2 linked regions of the Bombyx mori genome follow. The protein of the gene in region 1 binds, or shares a complex with, the protein of each later gene. Links are inferred from orthologs where the notes say so. Each region holds a gene or a part of one and is shown in the gene's direction. Other genes may lie near its edges.

Evidence for each region. The genes of interacting proteins can lie anywhere in the genome.
Region 2: actin-related protein 2/3 complex subunit 2 (region 1) and actin related protein 2/3 complex subunit 4 share a complex: the UniProt entries of both Caenorhabditis elegans proteins name them as parts of the arp2/3 complex. The link is inferred for Bombyx mori from reciprocal best matches to the Caenorhabditis elegans genes arx-4 and arx-6.

Annotation. Positions count from the first base shown.
Region 1 is NC_085109.1:10,846,113-10,851,959, forward strand, and holds the end of actin-related protein 2/3 complex subunit 2, read left to right. Parts: intron 1-459; coding exon 460-595; intron 596-1,268; coding exon 1,269-1,353; intron 1,354-2,136; coding exon 2,137-2,344; intron 2,345-3,098; coding exon 3,099-3,126; 3' UTR 3,127-5,098; downstream 5,099-5,847. UniProt on the Caenorhabditis elegans protein: Functions as actin-binding component of the Arp2/3 complex which is involved in regulation of actin polymerization and together with an activating nucleation-promoting factor (NPF) mediates the formation of branched actin networks.
Region 2 is NC_085122.1:8,791,205-8,796,405, reverse strand, and holds actin related protein 2/3 complex subunit 4, read left to right. Parts: upstream 1-2,183; 5' UTR 2,184-2,251; coding exon 2,252-2,758; 3' UTR 2,759-3,037; downstream 3,038-5,201. Other genes in the region: ubiquitin recognition factor in ER-associated degradation protein 1, read right to left, coding at 5,077-5,201. UniProt on the Caenorhabditis elegans protein: Functions as actin-binding component of the Arp2/3 complex which is involved in regulation of actin polymerization and together with an activating nucleation-promoting factor (NPF) mediates the formation of branched actin networks.

The DNA of each region.
Region 1 (5,847 bases):
TACAATAAAATATATTGGTGGTAGGACCTCTTGAGTCCGTGCGGGTGGGTACCACCACCCTGCCTATTTCTGCCGTGAAGCAGTAATGCGTTTTGGTTTGAAGGGTGGGGCAGCTGTTGTAACTACTATACTTGAGACCTTAGAACTTATATCTCATGGTGGGTGGCGCATTTACGTTGTGGATGTTTATGGGCTCCAGTAACCACTTAACCACCAGGTGGGCTGTGAGCTTGTCCAATCATCTAAGCAAAAAAAAAATCGAGACCTCAACTTCATGTCTCAAAGGTCTATATCCCAAAATATTTTTTGCTTTCTCAACAACGTCTTTCGAAGTTTTGGCCAAGCTGTGATGTAATGGTGACCACACCAAAAAACCTTGAAATAAATTCACTGGCTGGCAGTGTCGTATGGGGCCGATAAGGAGTGTCATTGATAAATGTGCAAATGGTGTTATTTCAGATACGTTGAAGCGCAGGAAGATCGCGTGACTGTTGTGTTTTCAACAGTCTTTCGACACGAAGATGATATGGTCATTGGGAAAGTGTTTATGCAAGAACTGAAAGAGGGAAGAAGGGCGTCGCACACCGCACCTCAAGTAAGTATATTGATTTTAATATATATGCTATATTAAGCAGCACATATTATTTTCTTCTTCTTCTTCTTCTTCTTAGTCGCATACTTCATTGCTGAAGGTCGTATCCCTGAAAGCCCTTCGTGGCTCTTTGTATCATCAGCTTCCATTTCATGCTAATACTCTTGTTTCATTGTTTGCTTTCATAGGATTTCTTGGGAGGGGTAGTGCAGTGGTTTCCCCTTGCCTTCTGCACCGCAGTGATGCTGTGTAAATAGTTAGTACGCCCTGCTGCCGACGCCTAAATATCCGACTTAAGTAGAGATTACCGGACCCCCTTTTTATCTCACATCTACTTGTCAACCTATATCTCCAAAGGGGTTGGTTACCTCAATCACGAAAATAGGTTACTTGGCGTAACAGGGTTCATCACGACAGATTATTTTACAATACTTCAATCTCATGTCTCAAGTACGGTTGAGGCACATGGAACTGGGGGCCATCAGCCTTCGTTCACGTCTACACTACACATCATCACTACAATAAAGTCCTGTACTATCAATATTTCTTTTGATGCTAATCAGGGTCTTCTTGCCTACTGTCTATTTATTTTGTAGTTTTTATTTTAAAGGTCATGCACCCAAATAAACTTGTAACAAGAATTTAAAAGCTTAACGATTTGTTCATGTGTATCCAGGTGTTGTTTTCACACAAGGAGCCGCCGCTAGAACTGGTCGACACTGACGCCAGAGTGGGTGACAACATCAGCTACGTCACATTTGGTGAGTTAATAACTATTTAAGTTGAGTGTTCAGCTTGATGGTTGAAACATTGAGTGAACATGTGTTTATTTATGTCAAGGCTCAAACCTGAGGCAGGTCAGAATTGAATATGTACTGTACATGTTATGAATGTCCATGACGGACGAATAATATCAATTAACAAAAATCGTATCTACATAATTAATCTGCTTGATTAGTTGGTTGGTTGTCAGAAAATGTCCTTTGTGAATTTGAATTGTAGATACCACCATACTGGAAAATCTCTGTTTTGAATAACTTTTATTTTCCTGCACATAATCTCTTACATTTCTTGTTACTTTACATAGCGCATATCCGACACTGAAAATCAAGACGCGTTACTTTTGATCGTGTCGCCTACTGTGCGTGCTTACTTACCTATCATTTAGTATTCCAAGAAAAGAAAAACCATTGATTATTAATTAAAAAAATTTTGTAATCGTGAGTACAACCGAATGTTTTTTTTATTTACTGCCTGAGCACGCAGAGACACGAGTTGAAGGTTCGAATTGAAACGCATTTGCTTGCTTTTTAGTAATGGCAACAATGTGGACTTATAGTTGCCTCCTGATTGTAAGTGATTACCGTCGCTCATGGACGTCAGCAATGCCAGGGGCAGAGCCAAGCTGCTGCCTATCAAGCGATTCACACACAGACACACATTATTCACATTTTAATGGGGACAATTGCTCCTCGCATTCCTTTACCTCCTCACAATAGTGAATAAAACGTAATCGCTTAACGGAGTGTGTGTGTGTTGGGCAGTGCTGTTCCCGCGGCACACGTGCGCGGCGGCGCGCGACAACACCATCGACCTGCTGCACATGTTCCGCGACTACCTGCACTACCACATCAAGTGCTCCAAGGTGTACGTGCACTCGCGCATGCGCGCCAAGGCCGGCGACCTGCTCAAGGTGCTCAACCGCGCGCGCCCGCACGCCGCCGCGCGCCCCTCCGAGCGCAAGACCATCACGTGAGTGCGGCCGGCCGGCCCTAACACGATTTTTTTTTATTTTTTTTATTGCTTAGACGGGTGGACGAGCTCACAGCCCACCTGGTGTTAAGTGGTAACTGGAGCCCATAGACGTTTACAACGTAAATCCGCCACCCACTTTGAGATATAAGTTCTAAGGTCTCACTATAGTTACAACGGCTCCCTTACCCTTCAAACTGAAACGCATTACTGCTTCACGGTAGAAACAGGCAGGGTGATGATATCTACCCGTGCGGACTCACAAGACGTCTTACCACCAGGACGACGAACTCATTTCTCTCAATTTAATCATCTTCATTTCATTTCACTTTAATATAATTTTTCATAAAAATATGAATATAAATTAAAATAAGACATGACTTAAAGGTCACAAAATCCCTTAAAAAAACATTCTCTCAACCTTTCGTTTCATTAATATTATATCAGGCTGACCCGGCAGACTACGTAGTGCATGAATCGACAAATAAAAGACCTAAACTTTTGTATAAAATAAACTTAAAACAAACAAAAGGAATCCGTTCGACGGGGGGGGGGGGGGACATCAAAGGAAAAACAACATTGTTAATTTTATTTAATTCCGAGCATTTTCATATTTCTCTACCTTTTAAACCTTCTCTGGACTTCCACAAATAATTCAAGACCAAAATTAGCCAAATCGGTCCAGCCGTTCTCGAGTTTTAGCGAGACTAACGAACAGCAATCATTTTTATATATATAAATTTTTCTCGCACAGGGGCAGAACTTTTGTGAGAAGAGATTGAGTGTTACGTTGCGGCGGAAGGTAGACGCCGAACACAGTGTGCGCGTTCTCCGTCGTCCGGTGACGTCATCAGTGACGTCATCAGTGACGCGACCTCCACCCTTCGCACGTCACGACGAGAACGTTCATTATAGTCTTTGAATCCACCTTGTAATTTGAACAATTTTAAATTATTAACCCCGGTCGTCAGATACACGAGCGGACGCTGTGTGCATTGCAGTGTCGTCCGACGCTCGATAATATTCAAACGAAATTGTTAATTTTTATTAATTTATTACTTAAAAGATCGTTTAAGTGTTACTTCTATTCATATTTTACACTTCCCGAGTGTCCTTCGGAACGTCACAAAGTACTTATTATAACATTGTCTTGATGCCATTTTCACGAAACATTTTTGCCAAATATACGCTCGTGTGCTCAATGATTTAGCGTGCTGCCGAGAGCGTTTCGTAGTTAACGCGAGGAAACTTGAACATTTTATGAATATTTATTCGATCGACTCGTGATCGTAGCGCGTAAATTAATGTTGCAGTAGTGGTAATCGTCGACGAAGACGAAGTTGTGCTTTATTGTAACGAAAGCTCCGCATCCAGACTTGGGTTCCTAAAGTTTAGCGTTCGACTTTACGTATACAGAAATATATATATATATCTAGATAATGTTGTATAGTTTCCGTCGAAGGTAGGAGACTCGCTAACGTAATTTTGTTGTAAGTTAATACAATTACCGGTCTTCGTCTAGAAATAAAATGTAATATAATAATTATTATGACACACTACTTACTTACCTATTCGTTTTAGATGTAAAAATGTATATCACATGAATGTTGAGACAGGTAACATGCACAAACTCGTACGAATTATTTTATCATTTTATATTATTTAACTGCTCTTGTATTTATTTCTTAACATTTTTGTATAATTCAATGATAATAATATTACGTGTAACACGAACAATGTTTAAATGTATTTTTTACCGTTTACGTTTTAGATAGGTCCGATCAATTATAATTAATATATAAGTGAAAATGTATAGTACCTTACAATAGATTCTTCCATAGACCACGAGAACTATGTGTAATGGCCTTATTTATGGTGATGCTGATTTAGTTCGATCGATGCGATGCGATTATTGTTCTGTAGAGACGCTAGGTTAGAAACGCAATATGTATATTTGACTATTAACAACAGTCCGTTTTCACTGCAAATTCCGAAAAGCATTTGTATTCACCCTAGACGAATTTTATTGCAATATTTTATTAATACAATTTTTTGCTTAGTAAAACATATTGGTGCAACATTCTTACGACACGTGTTTAGCGTCGTAGGCTTAGCGCGAGCACGTTGCTCGGATTATTGAGAAAAAAAAAACACCAAATAATTCGTAACTGTAATATGATAACGCAATCCAAACTCGCCGTGGTAAAATAATGTGTTAAAAATAAAATATAAGTAAAAAATATAACAGTGTTTTAATTAATTATATTAGGATGAGAGATTATCGAGTCGTGGACTGAAAGTTGACTAAGGTGATTTGTTCATCGCTTAATAGTCACGTTGGGATTTATATGAATTAAGTAATTCGCTAAGTCAATGGTCGCGGTGGCAAGTTTATGACATGACATGAAATAATAAATATATAAATTGAATGAATGAAAATTAAAAATGGCATACGTAGACACAATTGTAAACTAATTAATGAAACGTTAGCTAACTTGAAATTTTAATGTAATTCTTATTTTCGAAAACTTGCTAAGTAAATATTATTTATGTAAAATAAAAGTAAGTTAAAATGTTGCTTTAAAGTTATTGCTTACATTTGATTATTGTTTTACTGTCAGTTTTAAAGCGAGATTATGTTGACTGTGCGGAACACGGAAGTTATTTGTGAATATGTAATTATTATTCTTGTGATTTAAAAATCCGTTTATACTGTATTTTTATTTTCTAGATTAAAGAAAACTTACTGCAATATGATATTTGTTTTATTCACGACACACTTAACGAAGTCGCTCAAACTAAAATACTATACAGATAGAGGTACTGGTGGTATGGTGGTAGGACCTCTTGTGAGTCCGCACGGGTAGGTACCACTGCTCTGCCTATTTCTGCCGTGAAGCAGTAATGCGTTTCGGTTTGAAGGGTGGGGCAGCCGTTGTAACTATACTTGAGACCTTAGAACTTATATCTCAAGGTGGGTGGCGCATTTACGTTATAGATGTCTATGAGCTCCAGTAACCACTTAACACCAGGTGGGCTGTGAGACCGTCCACCCACCTAAGCATTAAAAAAAAAGGTTATTGCGCCAAAATGAAACTAAGTAAGACAATGCAATGATTATAATACGGAACAAACTAAATATTACTACATTTCACATATAGCTATAATAACGTTATAAAATATACGTCTTCAGATTTAAAACGCTTTCTACTGGCGTTTATTATTTAAATTGCTAAGAAATCAAATTTTCTAAAAGTCCATTTTGTCTTTCGGCGCCTCTGACGTTGTGGGTGTGGGTTTGGGTGGGCCAAGCTTGGAAAGGTTGGCCACCTTTGTCGCAAATTTCACAAAGTTGGGCCCCGATGATTGGGGCTCTGCCTTCTGTCCATCGGGTTGGACTGTGGCATCGAGAGAACCTGAGAATGTGGGGAATAGCAATAAAGGAATAAGTTTTTGGGTTTGATATGTGTACATATTTTAACATTTTTTATAGTTTTTTTTCT
Region 2 (5,201 bases), on another chromosome or scaffold:
TCCTTATAATTTTTCCATAAAATTTTGTCATTATCAAACCTTTGTCTACAAAAATAAAAACATTATTTTATATTGGGTAGAAGGATGAACGTGGTCACAGGCCACTTGGTGTAACTTAGTTATCAAACACCAGGAAACAAAACGTGAATGCCATCATCTAACTTTGGATGTGAGATCAATTGTGCTGTATTTTATTTAAACAGGAAAGCATGACTGATTGATCATTCCAAAAAACTAGTTCGGGCCCACTTGACAATAAGCATATAATACGCTGAGTTGCAAAACATAAATACTTCCACCCACTCGAGACAATTTTATTATCTGAGGTGTGTGTGTGATAGTACGAGACTTAATACCGACTGTTTTGATCAAAACTTAACATATATGATAGCTAGGCAGCAGAAATAGGAAGGACCATTAGTTGGTGCTAATTCATTTAATTATATTATGAATAATAATTCTGTTAGCAAATAATATACCGGGAAAATAGTGTAAACTCACCGTTATCAAGGCATCCGAAATAGCATTTCATTTTCGATCTTCGAGGCATGCTGATTTTTAATAATAAACATTCTGTAAGAAATGAAAATAGTTACACAGGCTTACGAAACGCTAACGAAGAAAAAAGTATTGGAGCCAAGTTATGTCTAAAGAGAATTCAAAACAGAGTTTCTCAATGTCTAATCGTCTAATATTCTCATAAAGCTAAAAGTTGCTCTAAATTAATACTACAACGTAAAATAACTCACACCAAGACCAAAAAAAAACGATTTAAAAAATTAAATCGTTACGACATTTTGAAAACTTTTTTTTTTTTTGAGATTGTTTTACGGCCCTGGAATTTTGAAAACTTCAAAGCAGTGTTTCCACTTACGTTTTTTTTAACACATTTTACCCTAGTTTCTTTTGAATTTACCCTAAAATTTCCTAGACAACTTTCATAAATCCTTTATATAGAAAGCGTAAATAAAATACAGAAAATAAACCACAGCATATTATTTAATGTAGGTATATATAATATAAACGCCCCCAGAAGATCATAGATCTATAGGATTAGAATTTTCAAGGAAGTCGACGCATTGCTTTTATATTCTTTTGCTGCACAACCTAACACTGTTCGGTTCTAAAATTGAGCAATTGTTTGCTGGCAAAGTTGGGAACTTTCTATGAAGCAAGCCGTTCAGGGTTTCATTAGAAAGCCTGTTTCTTTTGTCAGTTTTTAAATTTGAGAACACTGAATAATCTTTCCACCTCAGTCTTTGAAGAAGGAACTGCTAGCAAAAGTGAAATGACAATTACAAGGTTTCGTAAATGAAATTACCATGATAATCTTTCATGGTACATGAAGTACCTGTATATTACAATACAAGTAAGTTCTGGTGACATCAACGAAAATAGGTAAATAAAAATTTGGCGGATTATACTTATTGGGATTCTGGGGAATCCCTAAGAAAAAGCAGTGGCTTAATCTATGATTTACTTTACTAGAAGGTTACTGTTGAATCAAACCTTTATAGTTTTTATACACAACTCTGTTTTATTCTTTTACTTGTCAACTCGACTTAATGTCATTCTCTCTCCATAAAATAAAATGTTCATTGTTTTACTTTAATTATCGTTTATTTTAAAATTCACAACAGTTACTAGTATAGGCTTTGCTTTTTACCCCGAAATATCCTAAATCCTGGTATTTTTTAAATTGTCTTTATCATCCAAAATATCAGCTATTTTTCCCTAAAAAAGGGAGAATTCCCTAAAAGTGGAAGCACTGCTTCAAAGTACGCTACATTTTTTATTGAGTCAGAACTCATATATGCCATCTAGTGAGTTTATTAGATCATTAATGCCTAAAAGTTACAAAAATGACGTCGCCACAGGAGTAAGATGACGCTAGTTGTATGTTATTTTCCTTTGTATGGGAGTTGCACCCCCCTGCATTTAAGAGATTTTAGTAAATTCTCTCCACTTTACTGAGATGTTATTTCATTATTTCTCATCCAATACCTACAATTTTACCTTATCTTACCTCAGATTCAATTCCTTAATAATCATTTAATTTTATTTAGTACATTTTCACACAACAACACACTTGGATTTGACTGTATGGCCTACCTTACCTTTGGCTATGTAATGAACGAATCAAACAATGATGCTTATGTCAAATCTGTCATCAATGGTGATAATTCATGACTAAAAAATTGAAAGGAACTTAAGGTGTGGCGTGATCTTTGCGAAAGTTTAATTTTCTACAATGGCTGCAACTTTAAAACCGTATCTAACAGCGGTGCGTCACACGCTCACTGCCGCTATGTGCTTAGAACACTTTTCATCGCAAGTTGTCGAGAAATACACCAAGCCGGAGGTCGAAGTTAGAACAAGCAAAGAACTTTTACTCAATCCTGTTGTTATTTCAAGAAATTCTAATGAAAAAGTATTAATAGAGTCTTCAATAAATTCAATTAGGGTGAGTATTATGATCAAGCAGGCGGATGAGATAGAGAAAATTCTTTGTAAAAAATTTATGCGGTTCATGATGATGAGAGCTGAAAACTTCATTGTATTAAGGAGGAAACCAGTTGATGGGTACCATATCAGCTTTTTGATTACTAACTTCCATACCGAACAGATGTATAAGCATAAATTGGTCGATTTTGTAATATACTTTATGGAAGAAATTGATAAAGAAATCAGTGAAATGAAATTGGCTGTCAATGCAAGAGCCAGAATTTGTTCGGAAGAATTCTTGAAGAGATTTTAACTACTTCTTTCAGTGATAGAATGAAACATCTTTATTGTACATAGAGTATGAATTCATGTGAAAAATTTGTTGCTTTGATGGCTATGTAATTTTAATTAGTGATGGAATTCATATAACCTTCATAGACAAATAAATTGTATCATTACAAAAATGACATTTAAATATGTAATTGTAGAAGAAACTAGATTTTTTCTGAACTTATTCTTTGATAGCCTAAAGGCCTATTCCAGGTAAGCACAGATGGGTAGGTGCTTACAGGCTACAATTGAACTATTAAAAATATTACGTTATTTAGATAGAGGTCAGGGAAAATACATTGCATACAGATATAAAATTTAATGCAGGTCACTGGTGCCCTAAGCGGCGCACTGAAATAATTACGTTGATTTCTGTTACTACACGCCTGGATTACCTAACTTTGCCTTCTTTTGTTTGTTAATGTATATTTTAGACTTTTAGGTCTTCTAAAAGATAGATTTATTCTTAGTACCTGTGAATTAGTCATTTCCAGACTCTACTAGATATTCCGGCACTTTAATATGTAGATCAAAGAGAAAAATCGTCATTATTACGTCAGTGTGCCGCGTAGGGCACCGGTGATTTACATGGCAGTCAACATGTTAATAATTATTGGGGCTTTGTTGACATATTCTATTGTGCTATGTGCTGAGTGTCCTATCTATGACTATTATTATACTACTGGGAGCCCTTTAAGTTCTTTAGTGTAATACCTTTTGACAAAGACAGCATGTTGATTTTGCTCCTTGAATTGTCAATGTCCACATTCCACCATAGACTGTTTGTCGATAGCATGATTGTCTGCTTTCATGGGTAAAAACAATTATTGTAATTTGATATTTGTAAAAAGTAAAAATAGCGTGAATGTTTCTTCCTGTTCTTTTACATTATTATTTTTATGGTATAATTGTTTTAATGTTGATTATGTAAGTTTTGAATTAATTTCTGGTGTAATTTGAAAACTTTAATATTCTTAATTATAATGCAGTAAATGTGTATAATTAAATTCAGATTTAAATATAAAACATTTTTTGTATTTATAACACTAATATGTCTTTTTTTTGTAAACCTATTTGCTGGTAGCCTATTTGGCTATTCCAGCATGGATAGGTAGGTGAGCTCACTGGTTCAACCTGAAAGAACTTGCTAACACTAGCCCTTAGCAAGTGTAGTGCTTTGTAGAATCTACCGATGGAACACAATTATGACCTACGGTGGTGGTCTAAATAGACATATTTTAATGTCTATGAAACACTAATATTTGTATCAGTTTTTTGTAAATAAAACTAGAAACTTACTTAAGCATGTAGTTTGAATTATTTATATCATTATTTGAATTAATCCTGACTATAAAACTTACATTATTTTTATAATTATTTATTGGTTTATCATACTGAGCACCAATAATTTCTTTTTGTTAAGCTAAAATAAATTGCTCATTAAAACTCCAGAAAGTTATACTGAAACTTTTAGTGCATATAATCTATAAGGTATGATGATATTATGTACTGTTTTTTTGCTTTAATCATAGAAAAGGAGAAACAGGAGATCTTTGGCAAATTACATTTTTCTAGTTTACTCCTGAGTATAAACTTTTGGGAATTGATGCCACGAGAAGATTTGCATCAAAATGGTTTGCTGCTTGGTAGGCAAAAAGTCCGAATGTTGATGTTTAGGGCTTGTTGCTAAGCTGATTTTTAAAATGTCACTAACACAGTTGTAGTTGCTATACAACTTATATTAGGATGAGTGTCTATTACTACGCATATAATGAATTTGCTATAAGAATATAAAATATATTTACAAAAAAGAATTAACTAATATCACAATATCAAAGGACTTTTATATTCAAAACAAAAAATTATCAGTAACAATCTCTTCATCAGATTTTGACAATATTCAGGTTTAATTAACACGTAGTAGCTGTTTAATTAACTCCAACCAAACGTATACCACGATGTACTGATACAGAAAACCAGTTTTAGTTCTTAGACTTGGCAGTACGCAATGTAAATCCTTCGCCTGTAAATGCTTGAAAAGGTTCGGTTTGAGCCTCCTCTTTAGGGTCTTTGGCTGGTCTTGAATTTCTGATAAATCGCAGTGTACCAATCACAAAGTCGTAATCCGGAATGCCTCGTACATATGACTAAAACAAAAAACAAGTATGAGTGTTTTATTACTTACTCAATGAATAATGTTTTTTTATTTTATTTAGTAAAGATTTTGAGCTCGGCTTTGATCAACTAATAACATCACAGTAAAACTTATAAATTCGGTACTACTATTAACAGCAGTACATTTTAGTCGTTGCCTGGGATTTCTCTAATTTCGTGGGTGCTTGTAACACGAATCAAAAAGGTACAAATAGATCCATGTTCGTTGGAGGTTAACCGCTTGCCGTCGCATGGACCGCGAGATCGACTGT